Notamacropus eugenii: one gene and its partners. The protein of the gene in region 4 interacts with the protein of the main gene of each other region in a biochemical or structural test. Links are inferred from orthologs where the notes say so. Each region holds a gene or a part of one and is shown on either strand. Other genes may lie near its edges. The genes, in order: CLDN4, CLDN7, KIRREL1 and TJP1.

Region 1 (7,732 bases), on a different chromosome or scaffold from region 4:
TCCAGGCTATCTGAGGTCAATAGAAATCCTCAACTGCATACTTAAACCCCTGTCCCCCTCACCACGCCTACCCTCATTCCTACTTTTATTCTGTGACCTGTGGCCATACCTGACACACCTGGTCCTGTGATGTACCTAGCTACCATTCAGGTGCATGGAGAATAGGCCTGAAGGGACTTGACGGTTTCCAAGATCCCTTCAAGGTAAAACAAACAAACTTATGATTCTGTAACTCAATGAAGGTAGAATTTAAAGAGTTTGGCCCCAAGGATAATGGAACATGTGCCTAAAAGACACTGAGAGAGAGCCCATGTCCAGCAGGCTCTTTCCTAGGATACTTGGTACCCTAGACACCAATTCCAAATCTAGTTTATTTGGGTTATCCCAGACAGCTGAGATTCAGCTTGTCTCACTAGACCCCCAAGGCTCCCTCTCCTACCTCTTCCTCTCTCACCCTCAGCCCCTGGCCCTATTCCATCCCTTCCACCCTAAAATTGAAATCAGACAGCCAAGAGGCAATGCTTCCATGTACAGATCCAGTTTATTATAGAAAATAATAATTACAATTTATGGATTTATTTTTAATTACAAAATAGAAACATTGTCTTAGGCAGGAAGCTGCCAAAACCATGGGGGGAGGGGGAAAACAGAGAAATGCCCCTTCATCTGCACTCACTCCTCCCCAACCCACCCAAATCCTTTGGAGGAGTCAAGCCCTAGCTCCTCAGAATCATCTTCTCCAGGGCTCTGCCAAGCCCTGCTCCTCTCCCCACCCCCACCCCCCAGATTCTAAAGCTGAGTTGTGCTGAGGTGGGAGGGACTGAGTCACTTGAGGTTCTGGGGGAGGGGAATGCTGAGGAAAACCAGAGATTCTGGAAAGTCGCCTCCCCATTTGTTTGTCCTGAGAACTTTGCAAATGGGGAAATGGGAGAGAGCAGGGAGGAGACAATGTGAGCCATCTACCCCTCCTTGGACCTGCCTCATTTAGCCACCTCCCAAACCAGTTGGCCCACTTTGTGGCTCCTGTCACTAAGGAAGAGAAGGGAGAAGGGGTTGGGTCACCTGATTCCCTGCCTATTCAAGATGCTGAGTTTCAATGAGCCACTGGGGTGAGCGGGTGGGCTTCCTGTTTCCTTCAAGAGGGTCCCTTTTACTTCTAGAGGAAGCTATAGTACAAAAGGTGAACCCTCATAGACTAGGGGGAAAGGAGGAGATAAGGGAATCACAGAGGGTACATACAGGGTTGGAAATAGGTTTGAGGATGTGCCCATTTGAGACACACACACACTCCAGGAGGGAGGGGGGGGAGAACCAGCCAGAACTGACTCTGTGACATTGAGCCCCTGGGTAAAGGACTGAGCTAGCTCAGCCAGCTCAACCACAGTCCTAGTCTTTTCCTTCTCCTCTTCTAGGAGCACCCAGGCGAGGGGGGTGGGGGGGAGAAGGGGAAAGGGAGGGAACCTCAGCCAACTCCACCAATGGCTCTTCCTCTTTCTTCTTCTGGGAAACTGGAGGACCAGCTTCGGTCTCCCAGAAGGTCACAGCCCTCCTCCCACCTCCCAGACCACTCCCACTGTGTTTCTCAGAAGAGAAAGTTCTAGGTTTCCAAGTACCCCCAGAAGGAGATAAGTGAGGGTGTTTTTGAGAGAAGGGAGGGGCTGGAGAGGGTGCCCCAGCTAGAACAGGTGGCATCCCCCTGGCATTGTTTGCTCTTCTGATTCCAACAGGCACCAACCCAGCCTTACCCTCCCACCTCCCCAGACTCCTGGCATAGGGAAAGGTATGGGGCTTGGGCCAGGCTCTCTGTCCAGGCGAGAGTTCAGTCTCTTCCTAATGCTTGGGCCCAAACAGTCAGGGAGAATAGAAGAGAAAAGGATGCATCCAGCTAGGGCACAGGTAAGGAGGTGAGGGCAAGGAAGGACAACCACCAAAGGCCTCGCTGTCCCTCTTCCCCTTCTGTCCAATGTCCTCCCGATGCTCCCTACACGTAGTTGCTAGTAGGGGCAGAGCGAGCAGCAGTGTACTTAGCCGAGTAGGACTTCTCACTTCGGGGTGGGCAGTTGCAGCAGAGCAGAGCCCCTCCGAGCAGGAGCAGGCCTGAGGCAGCCCAGCCAATGTACAGAGAAGCACCCATCTCCCTCTTCTGTCCAGAGGCCACCAGTGGATTGTAGAAGTCCCGGATAACGTTGTGGGCGGTCCAGGAGGTGGGAATAATGACCAGGATGCCAGCCAGGATAAAGACCACACCAGCCACGATCATGGTCTTGGCCTTGGAGGTCTCATCTTCCACACAGTTGGTACACTTGCCACCCACCAGGGCCAGGAGGACGCCGAGCGCTGCGACGATGATGCAGATGACCACCAGAGCCCTAGCCGCCTGCAGGTCCTGGGGCAGGGCCAGCAACGAGTCGTACACCTTGCACTGCATCTGGCCAGTGCTCTGGACCACGCAGTTCATCCACAGACCCTCCCAGATAGTCTGGGCAGTCACGATGTTGCTGCCGATGAAGGCCGTCACCCGCCACATGGGCAGCGCGCAGGAGAGCATGGAAGCCAGCCAGCCCAGCACGGCCAGGGCAATGCCCATTATCTGGAGCCCCATGGACCCCATCCCCTCAGCCAGAGAGAGAGCCGAAAACCAAGAGAAGCAAGGGGCGCTGGAGCCGGGTGCTGGGAGGGGCTGGCGTGCAAGATCGAAGGTTCAAGTTCTCCAGAGAGGAAGTCAAGGAGACGGAGCTTGGAATGGGCACTGTCCAAGGCAAGGCAGATAAAGATAAGACCTTTCCTCTCCTAGCAGGTGCAACGGATGAAGCTTCCCGCCAGATGTTAGGGAGTTATAAGGCTTGAGGGCGTGGCAAGGGGAGGGGGGAAGGAGGAGGCGGGGTTTCGACCTGGGCCTCCACCTGACCAGTTTCTCTAGATTCCTCCCAGTCTAACGAGCGACAAAGACACTTTCAGGCCCCAGGTCAAGGCCCCCGGGAGGAGACTGGGGCCCTGACTCACCCAGCCTGACATCCTGGAGAGTGAGTCTCAGAGGAAACTGAACTCTCCCTTCAAAGTCTTAGGGTGCTGAGGTCAAATCAGAGACAGACAGGTCTGAGTCAGCTCCCCCCTCTCCCTCGGCCCCGCCCCATCAGGAGGGTGACTCCCCAAGGACAGGAGGGAGCCAGGGGCCCAAATCCCCGGGAGACGGGTCTGGGGGAACCTCAGTGCAGCTTCGCCCCTAGATCGAACACCTCTCTTCCACCTCGGGTGGGGAGGGGAGACCTGAGCGTTTGCTGTGGTGGGGTGTGGAAATCCTCCAGGGGAAGGAGGCTGCTACCCTTGCTGTCAGCCCGATTTTAAAAAGCAATAGCAAAGATAATTAGTCTTATCATCATTGCTGGCAGGATCTCATCAGCATCCTCCTAGCTGGCCTCAGCACTTACCCTGCACAATTTCATCCAGTAGAGCGAGGGGCTAGGTGTTCAGAATTGGATCCAGTCCCTTTAACCCATTAGTGGACCGCCGCCCCTCCCCCCAACCCTGTTGAAAATTTAATCACTCTGATTTTAATCCCTCTGATCCTCCATCCCCCTTTCTCTTCTTTAAGGAGAGGAGAGTCTAAAAGGTACTCCTTACTGAACTGGGGGTAAGGGTGTAGGACGAAGTCTCTTTCAGGAACATTTCCCATGTCCCCTGAGGATATTGACTGATCTATCCACAAATCTAAAAATGGTTGGAGGCCATCTTAGTACAACTCCTTTGTTTTACAGATGAGGAAACTGAGGCTCAAAAGAGAACACAGTTGGCCCGAGATGAGACAGACAGGAAGTAACAGAGCTGGAGAGACAGCATTGTGCCATAGAGAGTGTTGACATTAGAGTCAGAAGATCTGGGTTGTAATTCTAGCTCTATGAGGGGGGAGATTGGACCAGACTAACCATCTGGTGCTGCTCCTTATTGTCTGAGACACCTTGATCCAGGCTCTTAATCTCCCTGTGCCTCAGTTTCTTCATCTGTAAAATGATAGATTTGAACTGGATGTCTTGTAAGGTCTCTTCCAGATTTAAGTCTATAAGAAGACATTATAAACAGGATTCACAATGGTCCTTACCCCAAAGAGCTCTTGGTCTACAAAGGGGAAGTGGGTAATTACCCAAAGAACTAGATGAAGTAGGATAAGTAGTGATGAATGAAATAGTGATAAGTGCCTTCAAAGATACACAAACAGGTGTTAGGGGAAGTCAGTAAAAGAGAGAGATCTCCACTGGGGGGTGAGGATGGGGGAATCAGAGAAGGTTTTTCCTGTAGGAGGTGTCCTTGGAGCTGGACCCTGATGACTTTTGCTAGGAGGTGGAGAGGGAGGACCTCTTGGGAGAGGAGGCAGAAAAAACACCAAAGTAGGAACTAGAGGGGTGTGTCCCAGGCATAGGGAGGAGTCCATTGGAGAACAGGGTAAAGTGTGGGGGAGTTGGGTGAGATAAGGATGGTGCCAGCCTGGGTAATTTGGATTCCTCATTGCTTTAGGGAGATTAATCTGGAGGCAAGAGGAGGCTGGATTGGAGGAGGGAGAGATTAGTGGTTGGGAAACCAATTAGGAAGTTTCTGTAATAGGCCAGATGAGAGGTAATGAGGGCCTGGATGAAGGTGTTGGCAGTAGGAACAGAAAGGAAAGCAGAGAAGTGACAAACATTGGTAGAGGAAAAAAATAAACAGGTTTTGCTGCTGCCTGGTTGAACCAGTCAAGGAGTCAAGGAAGGGAGAAGGAAGGAAGGAAGGAAGGAAGGAAGGAAGGAAGGAAGGAAGGAAGGAAGGAAGGAAGGAAGGAAGGAAGGGAGGGAGGGAGGGAGGGAAGAAGAAATCAGGCATCCTCATGATGACCTCAGAGGAAAAGTTGTAGCTGTTGGGAGCTATGGTCAGACATATGGGGGCAAAAGAAAAAAGAGCCAATGGGCAGTTCCATGCAAATTCCTGCTAACCCCAGATAGAATTAAAACTCTCTGGGTGTGGGGACTTTTATTTTTATATCGGTATTCATAGGTCCTAGTAATAGTAGGCACCTAATAAGTACATGTTGACTGATTGCTGCTGAGGATGGGCCCCACCCTCCTAAGAGGAGTCCTCTGGCTTTCTCAGCTGCCTTCTCCCTGCCCTACCAGGAGTGGTACAGTAGGAAACGAGCTGATTTTGGAAAAGCTGGAATCTGGGTTCAAATCTTGCCTGTTGCTTACTATCTGTGACCTCAGGCAAGTAACATTACTTCTCAGGGCCTTGGTTTCACCATCTGTAAAATGAGAAGGTTGGACAAGCTAGCCTCCAAAGTCTTTTCCCAGTTCTAGGTCTGTGAATCTAGGGTCCTTCTCTGAAGATGTTTGCAGACCTTGGGGGTCAGGGGGAGGCAGTTCCCAGGAAGCAGATGATTAACTCAGTCTATCTCTGTACCAGCCAAACCTGCAACAACTATTTGGAAGAACCTGTTCTACCAAAGGAACCAGGGAGATAGAGCAAAGATGACTGTCGACGGACCTCCAGTCAAGCTGACCTAGACACACCCACTGGAGCCAGCTCCTGGGAACAGTACTATAGGGCATCCCCCCACCCTAGCAGAGCCTAAACTTCCCCTGTGAGATATCCCCAAAATTCCCCCAGCCCTGCCCACACTCCTTCACCTTTCCCAACTTCTAAAACCCTCTCTTCGTCCTACAAACCATGCCCCATGACCTGCCTCCCAAACCGCTAAAAGTCCTCTCTTCTCCCAACCAATAAAATCCCCAGATCTCAGAGCTGGTCATCTGGTTCTTAGCTCCTCCTCCCCAAACCCTCAGGGACCAATCTTCCTTCACAGAAACCCTCTTTCATGAAAGACCGCCTTCTAAAAAAATTTCACTTATTACTCCTCCCTCCAAAACTCCCCACAAAAAAAACCCTACCAACAAAAACACTCTCATGGTCTCACATCCAAAAATATACAAGAAATATATTAATAAAGCATGACCCAGTTGCAGCCCTTGGCAATCTCTCCAAATCCCTTCGACGGTCTCTCTCTTCACTGTCACTTTTTAAAGATGACCGTCCCTCTGTCCATGTATTTATTCATTCACTCCACACATGTTTTTGAGTGAATTTATTGAATTCATTCAACAGACATATTCAGAACTTAGTATGTGTCAGGAATTGTGCTGGTTAATGGGAATACAAATTTTAAAAACACAAAATAATAGAAACAAACCTTTCCCTCAAGGAAATTACATTCTACTCAAGAATAAATTTAAAAAAAAAAAAACCATATACCAAGTTTTAAAGAAAAAAAAGTACTAGGGAGGAGGGGCACTGGCAGCTGGACAGTCTCAGGACAGGACTGATATATAAGCCAATCCTTTGATGTGGACTCTTGAAGGAAGCCAGGAATTCCTGATCTAGAGTTGGAAGAGTCCTCAGGGGCCATCTGACTCACTGCCATAATTTTGCAGATGAGGTAATGGAGACCCAGGAAAGTAAGGTGACTTGACCCCAAGGTTTATAAGGGGCTAGGATCTAAATCTGGCTTCCTCACTCCCAAGCCAGTGTTCTTTCCCATGTACCTCTCTGCCTCCTACAAGCTGGAGGGGGGGAGGGAGTGCATTCCTTGCCTGCATTCCTGAAATCTAGTCTTCCTTACCAAGGGGGCCCATGCCATCCATCTGGTGCCCTTTCAGGGACCCGCACAGGAAACTCTCTCTTCTGGAGAAAGCATTTCACTGTGCACACACACTTGGTTTAGTCACCCTGGCTGCCTGGTTACTCCCTATGGTTATTGTCATTTCCTATCCCTCACAGTTCAGGTAATTACTACTACCCTCCTTCAGGAAGAAAGTCCTTTCCTCTTTTCTCTTTCTCTTCTCCTTGGTCCTAAAGATTATCTCTTTTCATAAGATCACAGACTTTGAGATGGAATGGACCTTAGATGTCACCTCCAGAGGCTTTTAACTTGGGATCTGTGAATTTTTTAAAAAATGTTTTAATAATTCTATTTCAACATAATTAGTTTTCTTGGTTATCTTATGTGTTTTGTTTGATGAATCTGAAAACAGGATTCTGAGAAGGAATTCATAGATACTACCAAACAGGACCATGATCCAGAAAAGGTAAAGAACTCTGTTGAATCTAATCCAATCCTTTATTTTCAAATGAGCCAACTGTGGCCCAAAGTCACACATCTAGTAAGTGACAAAGGCAGGAGCTAAAACCAGACCCTTTGACTTCAAATCTAGTCTTCTTGTTGCATGATGCCATGCTGCCTCTGGATACAAGTAGCCTGAATGTTTGCACCTTCTTCCCATCTTACCCCTCTCCTTCAGTACAATCACACCAAACTTTAGGCTATCCTGAGACCTGTCTCTTGACCTTAGTGCCCCAACCTCTGGTCATGACATCTCTCCCCTCCCAACCCTAGCCCTTAGCTCCCTACATTTCCCCCACTCAGTTTCTGTATTTGAAAGCCAACTCTCTATGGGTTTCAAAAACTTTCTGTCTTTCTATTTTCTTTTCTTTCTTCCTTTCTTAATTTTTCCTCCTTTCCTTCCTTCTTCCTTTCTCTCTCATTCATTGATTCATTCATTCAATTGCAACCTTGAAAATAGGGCTTAATTTATGAAATATCATGACTCTATACTTATTCAAATAAAGGCTCAGTGGCCTTTAGTGGCCTCAGTGGCCACTTAGCCATTATTGATCATTTTCTTTTCAAGTCATCAAAACTCAGATAAGGATT
Region 2 (6,885 bases), on a different chromosome or scaffold from region 4:
TTAAAAAACCTCCCCACCCCAAACAGTCTCCAAATTCTGACAATTCTACTCCAATATTTTTCGCACCTAGTCTTCTTCATATACACTGCTACCACTGTAGGTTAGGCCCTTACCCTCTGACCTGGACAGTTTAATAATCTGTGTCCTCACTAGTCTATACTTGGAATCTTTCCCTTTCTCAAATCCATTTTTTATTCAGGTGCCAAGTTAATATTTTTCAGTGGCCCACTCGGATCACATTGTCTACTCAAAAATCATCAGTTTTTCTCTGTCCACACGGAATAAATTTCTGCTTCCAGTGCAAGGTTATCTGTAATATCTGACTCCAACCTTATTACACTAAATATACTCTAGTGGTCTGCCAAAGGGGACTGATTATTCATCCAGTTTTGTCCTCTCTTCTGTCTGACTACTCTTTTCTCTTCCTTGACTGGATTTGAGATGGAATCCCATTTCTACCTTCCTTTCCTTCAAGACCCCTCTTCAGTCCTGGCTCCAGAAGGTGTTCAAGTAAGCTCTCCCTATTCAGTAGCACTTTGTCCGTATCTCTTATTTGAATACCTATTGTCCGTTTTGTAACTGTGTTCATGCCTTCCCCTCACTGTTGGGTTGTAGTTAATTAACAGTACATATTTATAGTTTCTATAATGCTTACTGATTTAGAACTTTCCTCACAGCAACCACCCGAGGTTCCTAAAGGGCAAGATCTGTTGTATGTCTTTGTAGTTCTACTTCTTGGATCCACTATGAGACCTTATTACACCTAAGTAAGGCACTTTATCGAACAGAAGAAATACTTAGGAGGCCAAGGGCCTCATTTCTTCTCGGGATGCAAGTATCCCAGCTTCCTCTATACCGAGCAGTTGTCTTCCTTCCCCTCCCACTGACCCCTGTACCCTTCGGGAGTGGCTCATCTTTCAACCATCTCGCAAACCTAATCCTCATCCCTTACTTCAGTATCTAAACCACCAGTCCCAATTTCGTCCACATACTCAGGCCTGAGGAGAGGCCCCTCAACTCTCCCCTCATCCTGGGGCGAGCCAGCAGTAGCCTGATCCTTCTCTCTCCTCCATTCCTGCTTCCTCTTCCCGCACCTGAGCCTTCCTGTTCAGTCCCGGCCTCGCCCCGCCCGAGGAGCCTCGCCTCAGCTCATGGACAACGCCCGGGGCGCCCAAGTTTCGGTGAAACTGCCCGGGGGAGCGGCTTCGGGAAACAGAGATAGCCCCTCCAAAGACCCCGAAGCCCAACCTGGCTCAGGCTCCGAGTGCCGAACCTCCCTTTGACCTCCCTTCGGCCTTACTATCAGCAGCCTCGGGTGCTAGTTACTATAGCTAATCAGGGAGATAAGATTAGAGACTGTGGCTGCAGGCCCCGAGTCTCCCGGAGACTCGGGCATTCCGGCCCCCAGTTTTCCTGTTGCGCTCTAGTTTGCCGATGTCCCCTCAGGATTTCCCTCTGCCCCTACCCTTGTTGGGACGCAAAGAAACACAAGCACTCTCCATCCCTTCAGTCCTCAAACTTCTCACACTGCAAACCACCCTAATCCCTTCACTTTCTGGTCCCTCTCCTCTCAGTGGCCTCTAAGAGCCTTCACTTAATGGAGGAGAAAGAAAGACTGGAGGTGGATAGGTGAGGAGCTGGAGGGACATCTAACTCAAAGAAGTTTTATAGCGAGTGGGGCCAGATGAGGAGGGGAAAGGCGAGAAATCGGAAAGTGGAAGGGAGAGGGTCTTAAACTTTTCCCCTTCTGGTAAGCGCGCGTAATTTCGTTCCCTCCTTGAACACAGGATCTTCCCCCCCACCCAGGCCACCTAGGCTTCGTTAACTTCAGATATCCCCATCCCCACCTACCTCAGCTTTCTTCCCTCCTCCTCACCTCGACCTCCTTCACGTACATCCCAACTTCCCTCCAACTTCTCCCTCAACCAGAAAGACCTCAAGTGAGCCGTTAGCCTCTAGACCTCTAAACTTCTCCCATTGTGGCTCTCCCTCCGAGAACCTAGATCCCCTCCCCATTCACCCCCAGCACCTTCACTTCCCGCCCTTTCCTCCCACCATCTCCCGTCGGAACTCAAGTGACAGGTGCTCCCCAGCCTCACCAGACAGAGCGAGGACTGAGTCGTACATCTTGCAGCTGATGACGCCGGTGCTCTGGCTGACGCATTCCATCCATAGCCCCTTGTACATCGCCTGGGCAGTAATGATGTTGTCTCCAGCATAGGAGCTCATCTGCCACTGAGGGATCGCAGTGCAGGCTATCAATCCCACCAACCCCAGAGCGGCCAAGGCGAATCCCAACAGCTGAAGACCAGAGTTTGCCATCCTCCCCACCCCCCAAAAAAAGAAGATCCTACAATAAACGAAAAAAAGTCTTTGGGGCAACTTTTTACAAAGTACCCCTCACTCCCCTACTTGGCGGTGTTTTCTGAGAGAATCCTGAAAAAGTACTTCTATGGTCAGAGCCTTTACAATTTTATAATTATTTTCTCCTTTTGAACACCCTACAGTAAACAGAAGAGACTTCTCCCGGGGTGGGGCGGGGCAGATGGGGGACCCTAGGTGAGCAGGGTAGGTGGAAAGGCGGGACCAGGAGACAAAAAAAAAAAAAAAAAAAAAAAAAGGAGGTCGCCGCTCCCCTTCCCCCAGTCCCTAGGTCAGACAAAAGGAAAGGTACTCTAGGGTAGAAGGTAGAACTCCCCAATGCCCACGCTTTGTTTTTAGGGGCCTCCGGGGCGTTCTAGCGCTGCTGCCAACCCTACCCAAACAAAAGGTGAGCAAGCCTATCGGGCCAAACGGCAGAGGTTGGTCCCCGGGTCTCTAGAGACTTCCAACTAGAGTAGCTAGTTCAGTTCACCTGGCCGGTAAAAAAGCCCCCCCCCCCCCCCAAAGTTCCGTTCCCACAGCTGCCGCAGCCTTCAGTCAGTTGGAGTGGCTGCCGGGCTACAATTCAGTTCCAGAGCAATGCGGTCCAGAATGGCAGCTAAGCTCTAGGGTGGATGGGACAGGTGCAGCTAGAGCACCTGTTTATAAGACCCTGAGGGGGAAGGGGGAGGAGAGTGGAAGGGGAGAGGGACAGGGGCGTGGCCAAGAGGTACTGGAGAAGGTGACTTGACGTCACAGAAAGGGACAGTCATCTAGACCGGAAGTCCCCCAGACACACACCTGCACAGGTGAGACAGTGGAGTACGGAGTCTGGAACCCTGGGATGTGCCACTTCTCATCTGGAGGATCTGAAAGCAGGGAACAACCTGAGGGTCTCTGAGGCTCCTCAGGGAAGGGAGGACTTTTGACTACCTGAGATTTTCCTTCCCATTTTCCCTGAGTCACCTGTGGTCCCTCCACACACTGTCTGACCTCTCCTTCCTCTTCCCCTCCCCCACCCCCTTTCGTTTGGCTCTAAAGCCTAGTTCGGCCTCACCCAAGCAAATTGTCCCTGGACACCGGCGCCCCTGGTGCCACCCAGTGGGAAAGGGATGGAGAACCAGCTCCTCCTAGTGCAAGCAAGTCTACCTGTCCTGAACTCCTCCTTTCTGCTCTGCATTTCTCTGTCTGTCTATCCGGTATATAAAAGCTCATACTTATGGTATGCTCCTATCTCATACCCTACCTAGAGAAAGCTCCAAAATATCGATAGGGACCATGTTTTAGCTCAAATTTGCTTGGAGGAGGAAAGCTTGGTAGGTAGCAAGAGCGTGGCCCCTGGCTGGGGTTCAAATCCCAGCTCTGATCATTACTACCTGTATGACTTTGGATAAGCCACTTAACAACCCTTCTGGACTTTTGTTTCCTATCTGTAAAATGACCACATGGTCTCTTGAGTTTCCTTCCAGCTGCTAGACCTTTTAGTGCCTTGTAACAATCCTTTGTTCACAATAGGAACTTAATAAATAATTATGGTATTGCTTTCACTCCTCATTGCTCCCTTGCATCCCCTTCTTTCAGTCTCTACCCCATGTCAATTCTTTCTACTATAACCCCTTTTCCCCTCCCAAATATTCATTCCTATCTCTGGACTTCATCATAAGACCTTAACTCCTGTCATGTACATTCCATTCCCATCTCCCAGTGGTGGCCCCTGGCTCCATAATAATTTATCACATTTATGAAGAGCTCTTTCACTCTAACTTTCCCTTCCTCATCTCTCTCAGCATCTCTTTCCCCTATCTTCCTATCAATCTTTGTCTTCTATCTTTCCTGTCTGTATTTCTACCCCATATTACCCCTATTTCATATCTCTCCCCCTCTCTCCATCTTTTCCCTCTTATTCCCAATCTCTTGTTCATTTCTTTCTGTCTTATATCTCTCCCCAATTCCTCTCCATCTCTTCCTCATGTCTTGTTCCACTTCTTTCCCTTCATTTCCTATCTCTTTCTATCATTCTCCCCTCCTATATTCTCTATATAGTTTTCTCCCCAATCTCTCTTCATTTCTTTCCCCATTATCCTGCCTGTGATAACTTAGCCTTTCTCCATCTCTCTTCTATATTGTTTATTTTTCTTTCCATTGTTTCTTTAACCTAGATATCTTATACTTCTCTTTCCAGATCTCTTCCTATCCTCACTTTCTCCAATCTCATTCTTTCCATTTGTCTTCCCTTTTCTCTCATTTGTTTCCCTTCCTTTTATATCTGTCTTCTCCATCACTCTTCTTTCAGTTTCATTTTCAATTCAACATATACCTATTAAATTCCAAAGCATATTGCTGAAGATAAAACAATAAACATGAAACAGACCCACTTTCAAGGAGTTTACAATCTAATGGAGTGTAGGAGCATCAACATAATTATAAGAAGGATACATTAAATGAATTGGAAAAGTCCAGAGAAAGTGCTCTGAGAAATCTAAGGAGTTTCTTACTGGGAAGACTTCATGTGAGGTGAGTCCTGACCTGTGCTGGAAAGGGAGGGATCTCTTCAGATTGAGCAGCTTCTTTATTTTGGAAGTCCATTCAGACAATGGTTAAGTTGTACTGTAAAAGGACAGAAAATGTAAAGTATGATATGACTGTAAAGTTTGGGGTTGTAGAGGAACTTTAATACCAAGATAAGGAGTTTATACTTTATTCCTTGGACAGTGGAGAATTACCAAAGTTTTGGGGTATGAAAGAATGATCTGACTATGGTGGTACATCAAATTGGAGAAAGACCAATTGTGAGACTATTATGATAGCCTAAGCAAGAAAAGATAGAGTTTGACTGCAGTATAGAGGAAAAACATATGAAAGTAAAGAGATTTCAAAGACAGAATCAAGAGAATTTGGCAGCTGATTGGATATATAGCATATGGAAAAAGAAAACATCAGAAGTTATTCCAAGATTGCTAGTTTCTGAGTGACTATCCCTTTCTTTTCTCTTCTCCTCAGTCTTGCTATCCATATCTCTCTTTCCATCATTCTTTTATCTTTCTTTCCATTTCCATTTCACTCTTTTAATTTCTCTTCTCAGGTCTCTCTCTTACATCTCTCTATTCTATTTCTTTTCCCGTCTTTTTTGATAGCTCTCAGCCTCATGCTTTCTGTCTTCCCCATTTCTGTCCTTTTTCTTCCTGTCTCTCAATCATCTCTTCCTCCCATATCTATCTTTCTTTCTGTCTCTCTATTTCCCTTCTCATCTTCTTTTCTAATCTTTGCTAATCACCTCCCTCTTACTTTATCCTTCTCATTTCCTGTTCTGATCTTCATCCTTCACTTTCTCCCCTTTCTTTCAATCGTACCCTTTTTTGCCTTTTGTCTTCTGATCTTATTCTCTCCTGTGTCTCTAGTTATGACAAGAAAAGTCACTTCCTTAAAATTTTGAATGCCTAATTTTTAAGCCTTCCTTACATACAAAAGTTTCCACCTCTATCACAGACAAAGAATAACCAAGCTATCCTTGGACTGTGTAACCATCCTGATGATTGTTATTGGGAGCTGACTGACCCAACTTCTATTCTCAATACCTTTCTTTTCCCCTCTCAGGGGATCTATAGGATATTACACTTTGTCTTTTGCCAATTACAGTTCAATTAACTCCACATCCAAAATCTTTTCTCACACATATATGCTAAAATTCAAACGAGTCTGTGATCTTACCATATTCAAGAATGGCAATCCATCTAAGCCAGCCCATCTAGTGTGACTCTTCTCATAAATTTTTCATAGGGGGCCCCACCCTATATATTGGGGGTACTCTTTATTTTCTCTTGACAGTGCCTGGGCTCACATGGATTCAAAGAATCATAGATCCAGAGCTGGAGAAGACCTCAGGAGCCATCTAATCTAAGCCTCTTATTTTACAGTTGAAAAAGCTGATTAAGCATCTTTGTCAAAGTCACAGATATAGAAAGATGAGATTTGAACACAGGACCTCTGAATCCAAATCTAGACCTCTTTCCATTGCACTACATTACCATTTATGACCAGTGTACATTCTTTTTCAATCATACATTTCTTTGATAGCATCCTTTACTCTGACTCCTCTTATTTCCTTATTTGTTGTGTACTTCTCCATTTTGCTTTTAGTGATAATCCATTTTAATTCTTTAGAGACCGAAGTGTTTCATATATTGCAGCCATACAATAAGACTGGTAGAATAGTGATATTAGAAATCTAGACCTTTATTTCAGAGAGACAATTGTGTCATGAAAGGAGCTTTGCAACTTCCCATAGACAGTCCAGTTTACTTTCCTTCTTGTGGTTAATGCTGAGTCCTACCCACTGTCCATTTGTAGTGCCTATCCAAGGTATATGTACCAATCAATGAGGCTGTCAAACCAAATTGCATTTCTGGACCATAGATATTTTTGAGTGTTATGAATCACATTCAGGAGACTTTGATGATATGAGGTTTGAAGCAACCGGCATAATTTTGTACTCAAATAGGAACATCTGAGGGTCCTCATCATCTG
Region 3 (7,122 bases), on a different chromosome or scaffold from region 4:
AATACCACAATAAAGCATAACACATTTATATGGTGTTGTCTTTGCCTCCTGTTTGGGGGTAGTAGTGGGGGAGGCCACACACACAGAAACACACACACACACACCTTCCAGGGAGGTGGGGAGAGAGAGAGAGAGAGCGGGAGAGGGGAAGAGAGAGAGAGAGGGAGGGGGGAGAGAGGGAGAGAGAGAGAGAGAAAGAGAGAGAGAGAGGAGAGAGAGGGAGAGAGAGAAAGGGGGGGGGAGAGAGAGAGAGAGAGAGAGAGGGAGGGGGGAGAGAGGGAGAGAGAGAAAGAGAGAGGGAGAGGGGGAGAGACAGAGACAGAGAGAGAGAGGGAGAGGGAGAGGGAGAGGGAGAGAGAGAGAGAGAGAGAGAGACAGAGAGAGAGAGGGAGAGGGAGAGGGGGCGAGAGACAGAGACAGAGGGAGAGAGGGAGAGGGAGAGGGAGAGGGAGAGGGAGAGAGAGAGAGAGAGAGAGAGAGAGAGAGAGAGAGAGAGAGAGAGAGAGAGAGAGCGGGAGAGGGGAAGAGAGAGAGAGAGAGGGAGGGGGGAGAGAGGGAGAGAGAGAGAGAGAAAGAGAGAGAGAGAGAGGGAGAGAGAGAGAGAGAGAGAGAATGTGCTTTTTCTTTTTCTGACCATTTCCGTCCTCGATGCAATCCACATGTCTCTCCTATTTGCAAGCTGTGCTTTTGTTCCTAGAGGCTCAGGCACATCCATATTGCTAGTATGTGTTGGGGGTGGGGGGGTCGGGAAGAGGGGGATGGACATGGTACATAAACCCCTCCCCCACAACCCCTATGCACAGACCCAAGCAGCCATTCCTCCCCCAATCTGTCCCCTCCCTCTTCAGCAGCCTGGCTGAGCAAAGTCAGAACTTAAGTCATCTTTCCAACTTTTTGCTAACTGGCCAGGCTGGGTCCTGGCTCTGGCCTCGGTCCCCCTCTCCTCCTCAGAACCAGCCCCACCCCCACCCATGTGCTCCCTCTCCCCTCTAGGGGAGTGGGGTGGGGAAAGAGGAACCAAAGCCCTTTGGAAGGAGAACCAGGAATCAGGCCTCCCCCAGCCCAACCCTAGCCAATTTTTGTTTTCAGAATTAGGAAGGAGGAACGCTCAGCTCCACAAACATATAAATGCTCGTATAAGCAACTCAGTGGGCAGAGCAAACCCCCAATCCAGCATCCTAGCCTAGAGACTACCTTCACCTCCTCCCCCAACTCCATCACCAGAAATAAATAAATAAATAAAAGATCATCCCCTCCATTTTGCACTGTGAGTATTACATGTCTCTTGTAGGTTATATGCATGTATGTCTATAGGTCTGAATCTCTTTGTCTCTCTCTCTCTCTCTTAAGGGGGTATCCATAGATGCCTCTCCGTATATATGTGTAAGCCTGTATCTGTTGATGTGTTTATTTGTATCTATTTCATGGAGTATATGTGGCTTGGGAGGGAGAATCAGAATGTGACTATGTATTGGTATGGATGAGTTAGTGCGTGGGTATCTGTGTATACGTGTAGCTGTGTGTCTATGTGTATCTCACAATGTGTCTATGCCACTCTATGTAGGTCTATGTCTTAAGTTCATGTGTCATTCTTTATTGCAGTCTAGCCTGGTGGATCTATTTATCTTGGTAGGACTCTGTATCTGTTTCTTAGTGCATGTGTCTGTCTGCTCGACTGAGTATGTGTCTCAGTGTCTATGTGTGTGACTCATTGTCTGTCTCAGTGTGTCCAAATCTGTGTGTCTGTTTTGTCCCCTACAACCAGATCCATCAGGCCAGGTCCCCTACTCCACAGGTCTTTGTCCCAGTTACTGATTCTACCTGAAGAAGGGTCACTATGACACCCTTCCCCTCTTCCTACATCCAACCCTTATGACCAGAGAATCGACAGAAGTCAGAAGCATCTTCCTCTGCCCTCTAGTGAGGACCACAGACTCCAGGGTAACCCCCGTAAGCTCTCACTCATTTTCTAAGTCAGGTTTAAGCAAACTGAAGCCACCAACACACCCTGGAACCCCAAAATTGGGGGGGGGGGAATGCTGGCAACCCCTTCCCACCAAAATAAATAAATACCCAATTTCTGTGCCAGAGATATTAACCAGAGTTTCTTCAACAACTCGCCCCACCATGTTGAAGCCAGCTCTGGGGCTGTGGCTACGGATTCTCCTTACCTCCATTCTTATCCTCACCCCCAGGGCCCCAGCTGGAGTAGGGAGAGGGCAGCTCTACATTTAAGGGGGTTTTCAGAGTTAATTACCCCCACAAAGGGCAAGACCCCTCCCATACTCTAATATCCCAGGCATCAGAAAATCCTAGCGCCTTTAGCAAGGACCCAGGCATCCAAGATTTTGGCCATATTCAGGACCAGTTTCCAGGTTGTTAGAGTGTAAGTCCCCCGACCCTGGGGGATGTAGGGATCACTTTGTCCTACTGCTCTTTACTCCCACCCATCATCCCCAAACCCTCTGGTCCTCCGGGCCCCATCGCTCTGCATAGGCACAGAAAGCAACTTGGAGAAATCAAAAGGAAAACTCATCCCTTCCCTCTGCACTCCGCTCGCCCCCTCCCCGGATTCTCCACGACCTCCACCTCCTTGCCCACCTCGTGGCCTCCCCTTTCCCACCGCCACCTCCATCCCCAAGCTGGGCAAAGTGGGGAGAGTGTAACCCGACTACTTCCCCATCGTTCCCGCGAACCCCTTCTTGTGTTCAGCCCCTAGCCCCCAGCAGGAGGATCTGGTCAGGGGGTTCGGAGGCGTAGGGCCAGGGGACTAGGGATCGAGTGTGGTGGGGAATCGGGGGTCCTTACCTTGGGAGAAAGTGTCGGAGAGAGTGAGGAGCCAGACAAGGAGGCTCAGCATGCTGTCCGTCCGCCGTCTGCCCGCCCGCCCGCCCGCGGCTGGGGCCCGGAGTTGGCGAGTGAGAGAGGGACAGAGAGAGGAGAGGGCTGGGGGGAGGAGGGGGAGCCCTGGGGCCCGCCCCCCGCCCGCCCCCCGCCCCCTCCACACACACACACACACACACACACACACACACACACACACACACACACACACACTTCCCTCTCAGTCTTCTCTCTCTCTCTCTCTCTCTCTCTCTCTCTCTCTCTCTCTCTCTCTCTCTCTCTCTCTCTCTCTCTCTCTCTCTCTCTCTCTCTCCCTTCTCCTCTCTAATCTCCCTTTCTGTCTGACTTTGTCTCTTGATATCTCTGTCTCGCTGAGTCTCTTTCTCTTTCCCTCTCTTTCCTCTTCCCCTCCCTCCTTCCCTCTTCCTGACGTCTACTTTTCCTCCGACGGTACCTCCCACATTACCCTCCTTCTTCCCTCCCCTTCAAAAAGAAAAAAAAAACCACCAAAACCCTACAACCTCGCAGAAACAGGGATTGAGGGAGAGAGAGCGCGCGAGAGAAAAAGGGAGCGAAAGAAGGAGAAAGAAAAGGAGAAGGTGGAACCATTGCAGGCGCTGGGCGGGGGTAGGGTGGGGTGCGGACCCTTCCCCCTAGGCACTCCGGGTATCTTGGGGCTCCTAGGAGGGGGTTGAGAGGGTTCCAGAGAAGGCATCTGGATTGCCAGTTCTTCCTGGAGTGGGGCAGGGAGAGTCTAGACTGTGAATGTGATAAGAGGAAGAAAATTCTTTAAAGGAGTTGGGAAGCTTGGGAATACTTTCCCACCCCATCCCTGCTCGAAACCTCTGGGGAAAAGAAGAACCCTGGAGGCCAGATTTCCATTTCCAAATAAATGCTCTTGAAAGCTAGGGCGTATGCGTCCCCTCTCCCTAATTCCCATACCCAAAGATAACGGGGCTCAGATCCGAATACAAGCGTCTTCCTGTCCCAAGCTCAAGGGGCTGCTTCACCCCGGTCAGCTGCATTGCAGAGCAAGTTAAATGTTGTTGGTGCCACCAGGACGAGGAAAAGTGGCACCCAGTTAAGAGGTGACCCTTACCTTCGGACACCCTTTCCTTTCTTCTGCTGATCTCTTACTCCAGCCTTTCCCTAAGAGAAGCAAACTAGAACATTTTTTTAAAAAGCCGAGCATGAATGGCCTTTTATGATGAATACGAGAGAATGCTCGGATCTCTAAGCACCCATGAATCTGGGACGCCTTCAGAGCTGAGATACAGAAACTGGGAAGGGAGGGGATTCCCAGAAAGAGAGGGAGCTGCGCTCCAGGACCCAGGCACCCAGTGCCCTCTTTCTATCACGAACCATGTGACACTATCCGCCTTTCTCTCCCCATCCCCCTGCTCAACTCACAGCCCCGTGCGCTAGCAGAGAGAGAGGCTCCCGGGCACCCCGGACGCCTGAGTTCCAAGGATCTCCAGACGGAGAAGGGCAGAAGCGAAGTGGGGGAGGCGGGAGGACGGAGGGGAGAAGTCTCAGAGATTGCATAACTTTGCAAATGCTGATGTGATCCAGAGAGGCGTAGGCCTCCTTTCTTCCCCTGTTTCCAGCACTCCAAGCCCCCAACCCCTACCCTGGCCTCATCTTTTCAATCCAAGTGCTTTTAGGAATGGCAGTCCGCTTTTCCGTTCATACGAGTGGCTATCGGCTGCCCTCTGCTGATCGATGGTCGCCACTGCCTCTGGTTCACCTCCAGGCCCATCACTATCCCCTGGGCCTCATGTTCATTTCCCCACAGAACCAGAATCGTGCCTTCTTCCTCCCAGCCCAGAAAAGGAGCATTGAGGTGGAGGTGGGGGCCGAGAGGAGTCACATTATTTTCAGTAAGTTATGAAAGTGTCCAGGAGAGGATTGGGCAGAAGTCCCCCAGTTAAGGTCCACTAACTTGGTTTATGGTTTTAATATTAGCCCCAAATTCATTCATTCCTTATGAGAGATCTAAGGATGGTACATGTCACACATTTCCCACCCTGAAAACAAATTAGGGAGATTTCTCTAGCTTGCTACTAATAGCTAAAGCAGTTTACCTCTTCTCTTGCACACCCCACCATCAACCCCTGCCCCTTTCCTCCAGTGTCCTCCCACCCTAACCACTCTCTTACAGCACCACTCTAGATCCAGTGTCATTCTCCTTGATTTCAACACTTCTTTGCTTTCTCTCACAGTATGCATTTATCCTCACTCTCTCTAGCCAACCGGGCTGAAGACATGATAAGTAAGCAAATCCAGTTTTCCATCCCTCATGAACACCTAGTGGTTGAACCATTGGGGTTCCCTTCCTTCCTTTCTCCACTTCAAGCTTTCTTCCCTGGTTCTTCTCAAATCTTACCTATACTTTCCTCTCTTACTAATCTTTCCCTACCCCTTGGGAAAAAACAAACCCCTATCCACTCTTGAAGTACTGGTGTTTTTTTTAGAGTTCTGGCTTACTGAATTATCTGTCCTGTCCCTAAGCCCTAGGACTACATCCTGTGTTCCCCATCACATTGAGAGCTTCCTAGGGGGTAGGGTCATATCTTCCTCCTGAATGTCCTTCTCCAACACCCAGAACAGAAGTATATTGAATAGTGGAATATGGTATTGATAGAGACTGGATAAGTGAATTCTAAGGACCCACTCACTACTCCTGCATAAAAAGAGAGGCAGCAGCATGGTGTATAGAGTCAAGACAAATATTAAGACATTTTTTTGAGTACAAAAGGAACAAGAGGTCAGGGAGGAACCTGGCTGGGCAATTTATGACCATCAGTGGGAGAAGTCATTGCAAGAGATGGGAATGAATTCTTTTTCTTGATGTAGGCTGATGTGGGCAAAACAATCCTATAAATTGTCCTCTTTCCTCCACAAAGACACCAGAGGATCATGTCCCTGCTGACTGTGGAAGAGGGAGGAGGGAAAGATGGGATGCAATCTAGATTTTCAGCTCAGGAGGGAGTCAGGGATACAAGGACTTTAGGTCCTGGAGATTGACAGTGTACATTTTATCCATCCTCCTCCCTCTGGGCAAGGCTTCCAGGGACTCCAGTCTAGAGTAGAGAGGGATTCACCTGCATTATCTTTGGGAAAGGGACATCCCTGTTCCCCCCTCTGTCATTTTCGCATCTCACAGCTCTGACTGCTCAGAAGTCCTTACTACTCTCCCATATCAGTCCTCCCTAATGCAATGCTAATAATGTATTTCTCTTGAAACTGCCCTTTCCAAAGAGCCTAGCATTTGACATGCCCCAGGAGGAAGATAGAGATTAGGAGACACCTCTCAATGGTGTCAAAGTCCCATAGGACTTTCAAGGAACTAGCAATGAATGTACTTTTATAGGGAGAAGGGAAAGGAACAGTAGGCTGACCCTACCACATCCCCACCTCCCTGGATACTCCACCTAATACATTGGCCTAACTTGCTTGGTGGAGAGGTGCCCTGCTTTTCAAAGGAAGGAAAGAGAGATGGTTCTGATCTGGGGAAAGTTCCACCTGGCAAGGCTGCAAGTTGAGTGTCACCCTACTTTCTCCTCCAGCCTGAAAAGTGAAGGCTCTCCTAGCTATGCTCAAAATCTCACTGAAGGGTCAGCTGCCCCAGTGATAACACCCAGAACAACATCCATCCAGCTCCTTGCGTCTTCAAGGTTGAAAGGAACAATCCCAAGGAAGTCTTAGCTCCTTTAACCTTAAGGTCTGGATAAAGATTTCAATACATGCCAGTTATTGTCACCCCAGAACTGGGAACCACTACTGTTCTCTGCCTTCCATAGATGAAGAGGTCTGGGAACAAGAAGGGATGGGAGCTAGACTGGGAATACTGGGATAAGGCTGTTATTGACAGAGGGCAGGGATCTTTTTTTGCAGCAGAATTTTTGCAGAAGGTTAGAACTTAGAGGGGGAGGTCTTACTACTGGGCAGAAGATTCTAGATAAGAAGAGCAAAGGAGTCCTGGAGATCTAGAAAGTAGTATTTGACTTGGCCGAGATGAGGAGGAAGGCTGTAGTGGAGTGGTATGAGCCTTGGAGTGAAAGGACCTCTGTGACCCCTGGCTGGCTCCACCTTTCTGAGCCTGAGGTTCTCATCTGGGAAATGAGGAGGTCGAATCAAGTGCCCTCTGAGCTCCACCTCTGGCTTTCCAAGACTCAGATGATCTACCTCCTACAGATGATCTGCCAGGAGTCTGGTGTGTTTAGTAGCAAGGGACTGAAGGCACTTTAGAGATAAGTTCACCTGGGGAATTGAGAA
Region 4 (7,295 bases):
GAACAAGAGATCAATTTCAATCTCATTACTTACACAGCAGTGTGGTTATTTTTTTGTTTGTTTAGAGAATTACTGTGTTATAATTCACTGATGAGCAGTATGTAGTAAAAAAAAAAAACAACAACAACAAAACAAGGCTTTCTTAAACAACTTTTAAAAGCAACCTAAAAAAGAACCTGCATTATGCCTGAGTTTTCAAAATGAAAATATATAAAGCTTTGAAACAAAAGTTTTCAGCCCACATTAATGAGCCCTGTTCCACCACATAACTTAGCAAATTCAGAGATCAAGAAGGAAAGCAATTACCATAAGTAGTATTACCAATTTATAATTGATAAGTTTAGCTTTCACACTCTAGATTTCTTAATAGAACATAAATTGAAGAACTTTGATCGAAGTTTTTTCAGAAACAAGGTGAATTTTTAATAGTATACCCTCAATTACTTGACTGATTGAAAATCTTAACCACCTCATTATATTTGTTCACAAAGAAACCCAGACCTAAAAGAACAAAAGTCAATCATCTCTTTAACAGTGTCTTATGAATAAGTAGCTGGCACATCATAATTATGAAACTGTGCTGTGCCATTGCTAAAATAGAGCTGTACCTCATTTGATAAGCTAGATGTAGATATATGTACATATTGTGTGTGTGTGTGTGTGTATAAAATACTATGTTTTGATTTTTTTCAACAATTTGCACTATTATTGTCATTCATGACAGGAAAAAGAAAAGTCTCCAACAACACATATGGAAAACTGTGCCTAAAAATACACAGTAAAATTTTATAAGCACATTTAATGCCCAAATTTCAAATTAAATTCCACTGCTCCCTCTAGGGCAAAGGAGCTCAAAAACCTGGATGCCAGTTTCAAAAAGATTCCTTCTGCAGTCTCTGGTGATTTAAAGAGTTATAAACAAACCACTAAAAGGGATTTCCCATGTGTACGCCTTATCTTCAGTTCTCAAATAGTTCTTTGGTAATGAAGAGTATCACTTTATTGTTTTTCCTATTCTGCACTGAGTACAACCACGGTCAAAATTAAGTTTGCAGTGCCAGATAAAAAGGAACAAATATAAAATAATACACTTTCCTCTTCTCCCCAAATACCCCAGAGACTGAAACCTTTCCAATAAATTAGAGAAAAGAGTCAAGGATCTTAAAAAGCCCTTGATTCAGAATTTGCAGAAACGGTACATCAAATCTCTAGTGATTGAGGCTCAGTATGCTGTACTAGAAAACTTAAAACGAAGGCTTCTCAATAATAATAATACCACCTAACATTTAAAGGACTACATAAGATTATCTTATTTTATGCTCACAAAAATCCGGTGAGGTCAGTGCTAAGAAAACCTCAATAAAATCTTTGTTAAAGTATTTCTCTTAACAGGTATGTTCATATTTTTTAAATAAACAAACAAAAAGATATTGTAAATGTAAGTATTGTTAAGGTTAGGGAAACTAAGGTCAAAATCAGTTACATATATTCCACGGTATTTGCAAAAAAGGGGCCTCACCAAATTATAATGTTCATCATGAATATAGGCAGTATAAGCATACTCAGCCCTATTTTTCGATACATCATATCCACAAAAAGACCACAAACGTAAGAAAAAGGATTCCTCATTCTCTTCTCCCAAAGAAAACATTTCCTAGTCTAAGACTACTGAAAATCTACCACAAAAATTCCAGTATTATTTAATTTCCCGTTTACTTCTCCGCTGCTCACAAGTAGTATTCTGTGTCAAGGACAATATTTTTTTCCTCCTTCTGATAGGAAAAGGTAAACCAAGCACTCGGAGTTCAGTGACAAACTGCTCTGAGATGCTACTTCACTGTTGCGCAGCTGGGGGGGTTACATTCTTCATCAAGTGGTCCGCACGTTTCTTTCCAAGTCAGTCTGCTCGCTCTTTTTAGTAACCAGTATTCGCTACAAAATAACACTTTCCAAACCGCAGGTCCAGGGCGAAGGCCAGCCGGCCTCCAAGGAGTCCCCATGTAGGAACATGTGTTCTCTTCCAATAAAGAAAAACTTAACTGGTTTCAAGCCTCAGGGCTTCGAATGCAGGGAGAAAGGGGAAGCTTTCAGCGCCGCTCACAGAAACCAACTGAATTAACTTACTAAACTCACTTTAGAGTTTCGAAATCTTTGTCAAAGTTACATTTACTTCTCAAGACACAGCGTACGGAAAGAGCCGCAGGGGAAGCGCTCGTGGGCAGGGCTTTCCTAACACAGACGCTCGGCTCTCCGAGCTCGGCCCTCGGCCACAGCCAAGTTTTAAAGTGAAAACTGCAGGCGCTAAGTCGGGGAAACTCTCGGCGGCCGAGGCGGCGCCGGCTCGCTGGCCCAGGGCGGTCCCGGCGGGTCGGTCCGGAGCCTTATCGCGGCCGAGCGAGGGAGCGCATACCGCAATCGGTGACATCAGACCGAAACCAGCCGGTTTCACCGGGGAGCGGAACGCGCTTCCAGCGCGGCGGGGCCCGCCCGGCTCCCCCTCCCGCCCCCCGGAGGATGCACCTGCCTCGGCGTCGCCCACAGCGGCCCCACCCAACAAGCCTGCCCTCCTGTCACCTTCGCCGACTCCCCCGGCCGGTATTTCTTCTCCTCCGCCGCCTCCGCCTGGGCCGGAAGATCGATCCCCGGGTGGGTCGTCACAGGGCTCCGTCCGGCGGGGCCCGCGCGGTCGCCCCCCCGCCCCGGGCCGGGCCCCTCCCTCTGGCTCGGGGCTAAAAGTCGGGCCACTCCCGGGGCGGGGCCTCGGCCCGGCGCCCCGCTCACCTGGCCCCGGGTCGGGGGAGGATAGCGGGGTCGGCGCCCCCGCAGGAGCCGGCCCGAGGGGGTCGGGGGGCCATCCCGGCGCGAGCCCGCCAGAGTCAACAGGTGGGAGGTCCCTTCGGTGAAGACGTGCCAGCACCTCCACATTCTGGCCGCCGCCGCCGGGTCCTCGTCCCGCCCGGGGCTCTGCCCCCCACAGAGACGCTCCCAGACGCGGCCGGCCAGTGGGCGACGGGGGAAGAAGGGAGCGAGCCGTGGGAGCCTCCCCCGCCCTCGCTGGCCGGGCTCCGGGCCCTGCCCCGACCCCGGCCTCGCTCGCGCCCGCGCCGGCCCCACGGCCTCTCACCTTGGCAGCCGCGGCTCTGGCGGACATTTTGTGCGTCTCTCCCGCGCCGGGCGAGGCTCCTCACGCTAAGGCAGAAGCTCCAGCTCCGCCGCCGCCGCTCGCTCCTCTCACGCCGCTGCCCAAATAAACATCTCCCGGGAGCTAGCGAGCGAGCGGGCCCGGGGGCGGGGGCCGGCGGCGCAGGCCCGGCCCAGGGGGAGGGGATTCAACTTGGACAAAAGTCCCGGAGTCGTTCGGCGGCGGCCGCTCGGCCCGGGGCCTCCCGGGCGGGGGAAGCCGGGAACCGAGATGGGTTCTGAGGGACGGCCGGGGCCGGGGCGACCCCGGGCTCCTTCCTCTGCCCCAGCTACCACCCGTCTCTCCCGGCAACCGGCGCCATGCCAGCTGGGGCAAGGCCGGCCTCGTCGCTCACGCCCCGTCCAGCCGAGACCGCGGCGGAGAAGATTCGGACCCAGGCCGCACGCCCCCGGGAGTTACCTCCTTCTCTGGCTCTGGAGGGGCCCCCCGAGCCCCGCTCCAACAGTCTCCCCGGCGGGAGGAAAAGGGACTGGGGCGCCGCAAGAAGCCGGAGCCGAGGAAGCCCAGGCCGGCCAGCGGCGCTCACATCTGCCCTTGCTTACTGAGCATGCCCAGCCCTCGGGCCCGAGCCACGGAGGCGTTTCTGGGGGCGGGGAGAGCGAAGGAGAGTCGTGGGGAGCCCGGGGTTCTAGGCACGCCTGGAACCCTTCAGGAATGTGGCTGCACGGAAGGAAGCAGAGTTGGGGCTCGTCCAAGGTACTCAGAACTTGGAACTACCGCCCGCCTGGAAGCTGGGCTATTGTTCTTGTTTAAGCAAAATACAGACAGTCCGAGAAGGCTCTGGAGGCAGGGACCACAAGACCACCCCCCGCCGTGTCTCACCCCCACCCCCACCCCACCCCCCGGTCACTACCAAAACAGGGAGCCAGCTTCGAGGCTTTACTCTCTAGGTGGGGAATGGATCCCCATATTTTTCCCCTACTAACCAAAAGTGTGCATGGGTTTGCATGTTTAAAAGTGAAAAATTCCTTTTTCTCCCCGATATAGCGGGGCCACGTGTAAGAATGCTGTACTTTACAATACACCCAAACAAGTAGTCCCTCAGATTTTACCTTGACGCTCCCTAGAAAGACAGTTCATTCCACTTTAGAACAGATCCACTTGTTAGGAAGTTTTTCTGTATATCAAACCTGACACCTCTTTGCAACTAATTTTGCCATAAGGAGGCAAACTCTAATAAGTCGAAGTCAATTCAACCTCTCCTTGTCTCCTCAACTGAAAAAATGCGAAGATTGGACTAAATGACCCCTGAAGTCATTTCCAGCTCCAAAACTGATCTCATAGTTCCAAGACCAATAAAGAGCAGAATTCCATTGAAGGTTCCCACAGCTTTTCCCAATAGGAGCTTTTCCCATGTATATATAACTCATGCTAATGACAATATAATTCATGCTGGTGACAGTAAAGGAAAATCATTTATTGGGGAGAAGGGATAGAAAACAAGATAGATGGGGGTTTATAAGGAGCACAGTGAAATAAGTTTTGTTTACAGTTCTGTTATAATGGCAAGGCTACAGAAAAATAATACACATTTCATGAATAGTATCCAGTATTCAGTCTGTTGCCAAGGCTTGTCAGTTTCATCTTTGCAACACACCTCCATCAGGCCACCTTGTCTCTTCCAACACTGCAACCACTCTGGTGCAGTCCATTATCATCTCACTCCTGGACTATTGCTATAACCTGCTAGTAAGTCAGCCTGCCTCAAGTCTCTCCCCACTCTGGTCCATCCTCCAATGTTACCAAAATGATTTTACCAAAGGGTAGGTCTGACCATATCAGCCCCCAACTGGGTAGCTCCCTATGCTTCCAGGATTCCTCCCTATTTCTCCCAACACATACTCTTCAATCCCATACCCTGGCCTCCCTGCTGTTCCAGAAGAAAGACTCTCCATCTCTCAGGTCTGAATTTTCTGTGACTGTCCCCCATGCCTGGAATGCTCTCCCTCCTCTTCTCTTCCTTTAAGTCCCAACTAAAATCCCATCTTCTACAGGAAACTTCTAGTATTTTTCCTCTCTTAATTACTCATTTGTCTGGTCAATATCTTATTCGTACATATTTCTTTAGTTATTAAATTGTGAGCTCCTAGGGCAGGCCTTTTGCCCTTTCTGTGTATTCCCAGCAGTTAGTGCAAGTGCCTAGCACAGGAGGCACTTAATAAACATTTATTGACTGACTGACTGAGTGCCTCCTGTGTATAAGGAACTGTGCTTTGAGGTGGCCCATGAAGATGAGTTGGGGGAGCAGGGACGCAGATAAGGCAAATATGCAAATAAAAAGAGTGCAAAACAGAGTATGTCAAGTGCTATGGGGTTTGGAATAAGAGAAGGTAAGATAATATCGAACTGGAGGAATTAGGAGATGCTTCATGAAAGAGGCGGTACATTTAATCTAGATCTTAAAGAGATGGGGGAGGGGGAGTGAAGCATTCCAAGCAAAGAGAACAATAAGAACCAAGTAACTGGAAAGGGTAGGAAGGAGCAGGTTCAGGAAACAATTATCTCTTAGCTGCTTTATTTAAGGAATAGTGGAAGGCAAGGCTGGAATGATACTGGAGAGCCTTGAATGCCAGGTTGAGGAGTTTGAGCTTTAGCCTATAGACCATAGGGAGCCATTAAAATTTTTTGAGCAAGAACCTAAATTGTGCTTTAGGGATATTAATCTCTCAACAATTAGTAGAATGTAGCAGAGGGAAAAGAGACTAGTTAAGAGGCCATTTCTGCAATAGTCGGGGGGGGGGGGGGAGGGGGGGGGATTTCAATTCAAATAAGGATTTATTCAGCAATTACTAAGTACTAGGCACAGTACCAGGTGCTAGGGAGGCAAAGAAAAGATTAACAAACATTCCCTGCCCTCAAGGAATTTACATTCTACTAATAGTAGTGAGGGCGTGAAATAAGGGATGGGGACAATGGCAATAGAAAAAATAATGGTTCAACAGATATCATGGTGATGTCTTCTATATGACTTGGAAATTAACTAAAAGTAGGGAGTGAACTCTCTAAGGTGCTGGACATTCTTTAGGTCCTAATGACCCAAAGTACAGTGGTTTTCATGCCCAGAAGTGGGAAAAAGCATGGCAGCTATGGTACCTTACAGTTACAAAGCATCTGTAAGGAAATTTGGAGAGCAATTTCCATGGAAAATATGATAAAATGTTGTACACTATCATGGACCATGCTTCACATCCCTTCTAGCCTCCCACCCTTATCCATCTTGTCATCTTCTCTTCTAGTATTTCTCTCCATTTGGATCAGTACATCTGGACTAGACATCCAGAAAAAAAATTTCCCCTGGCCCACAGGAAATTTATTCGCTTATCTTTGGAATTCCAACTCTGAGGCCTAGCTATATTGACTAGTGAGTGGGCAGCACAAACTCAGCTAGCCTACTATATCTAGTCCTGCCCAAACTTCCAAATCCAATTATACTTCATCTCCCCTCCAGCCTTCTGCTCAGATTTGTTACTATCCATTCACCTCTGGCTCTAAATTCAGTAATCAACTCAGATATTATCACACTAACATTATTCCTAGAGTGGGCTATGAATTGACTGATCAACTCACCATCTCATTAATTCTCAGACACTCCCTTTCTTGACCACCCCTCTCATATATACACTCCCTAACAGCCTGACACTAGTATTTTGTAGATCCCTAGCTAGTGTCCCCATAGATAGCGCTGGACCTATAGTCAGGAAGGCCAGCATATTAGCTCTGTGACCCTAAGCAAATCACTTAACCTCTAGAGGAATCAATTTCTTCATCTGTAAGATGGGAAAAATAAATAGCATTACCCTCCCAGAATTGTGAAGATAAAATGAGACAATATTTGTAAAGTACTTTGCAAGCCTTAAAGTGCTATATAAATGTTAGCACGTTGGTGTTGGCATCCCCAAACCCTTAGCACAGGGCCTGCACATAAAATGTGCTAAAAAGAAATTTTTTTTCATTGTTCATTCACCTACATGCCCTATCCCAACATACAGTTAGAACTAGACTATGAAAAGTAACATTTATAGGTCCATATATTAACATCAACAGACTGAAAAACACTCCTTGAAGCTGAAGGTTTTAAAAATGTTTTTGTTTA

What was found.
Region 1: the proteins of TJP1 (region 4) and CLDN4 form a complex in vitro, tested with the Homo sapiens proteins (2 studies listed by BioGRID and IntAct, with this or other methods). The link is inferred for Notamacropus eugenii from reciprocal best matches to the Homo sapiens genes TJP1 and CLDN4.
Region 2: the proteins of TJP1 (region 4) and CLDN7 form a complex in vitro, tested with the Homo sapiens proteins (2 studies listed by BioGRID and IntAct, with this or other methods). The link is inferred for Notamacropus eugenii from reciprocal best matches to the Homo sapiens genes TJP1 and CLDN7.
Region 3: the proteins of TJP1 (region 4) and KIRREL1 form a complex in vitro, tested with the Homo sapiens proteins (3 studies listed by BioGRID and IntAct, with this or other methods). The link is inferred for Notamacropus eugenii from reciprocal best matches to the Homo sapiens genes TJP1 and KIRREL1.

Annotation. Positions count from the first base shown.
Region 1 is NC_092873.1:49,706,202-49,713,933, forward strand, and holds CLDN4 (claudin-4), read right to left. Parts: upstream 2,833-7,732; 5' UTR 2,612-2,832; coding exon 1,982-2,611; 3' UTR 523-1,981; downstream 1-522. UniProt on the Homo sapiens protein: Can associate with other claudins to regulate tight junction structural and functional strand dynamics.
Region 2 is NC_092873.1:78,805,180-78,812,064, reverse strand, and holds the start of CLDN7 (claudin-7), read right to left. Parts: upstream 3,004-6,885; 5' UTR 2,323-3,003; coding exon 2,100-2,322; intron 1-2,099. UniProt on the Homo sapiens protein: Plays a major role in tight junction-specific obliteration of the intercellular space.
Region 3 is NC_092873.1:382,289,132-382,296,253, reverse strand, and holds the start of KIRREL1 (kin of IRRE-like protein 1), read right to left. Parts: upstream 3,015-7,122; 5' UTR 2,861-3,014; coding exon 2,809-2,860; intron 1-2,808. UniProt on the Homo sapiens protein: Required for proper function of the glomerular filtration barrier. It is involved in the maintenance of a stable podocyte architecture with interdigitating foot processes connected by specialized cell-cell junctions, known as the slit diaphragm.
Region 4 is NC_092872.1:152,386,830-152,394,124, forward strand, and holds the start of TJP1 (tight junction protein 1), read right to left. Parts: upstream 3,015-7,295; 5' UTR 2,926-3,014; coding exon 2,575-2,925; intron 1-2,574. UniProt on the Homo sapiens protein: TJP1, TJP2, and TJP3 are closely related scaffolding proteins that link tight junction (TJ) transmembrane proteins such as claudins, junctional adhesion molecules, and occludin to the actin cytoskeleton.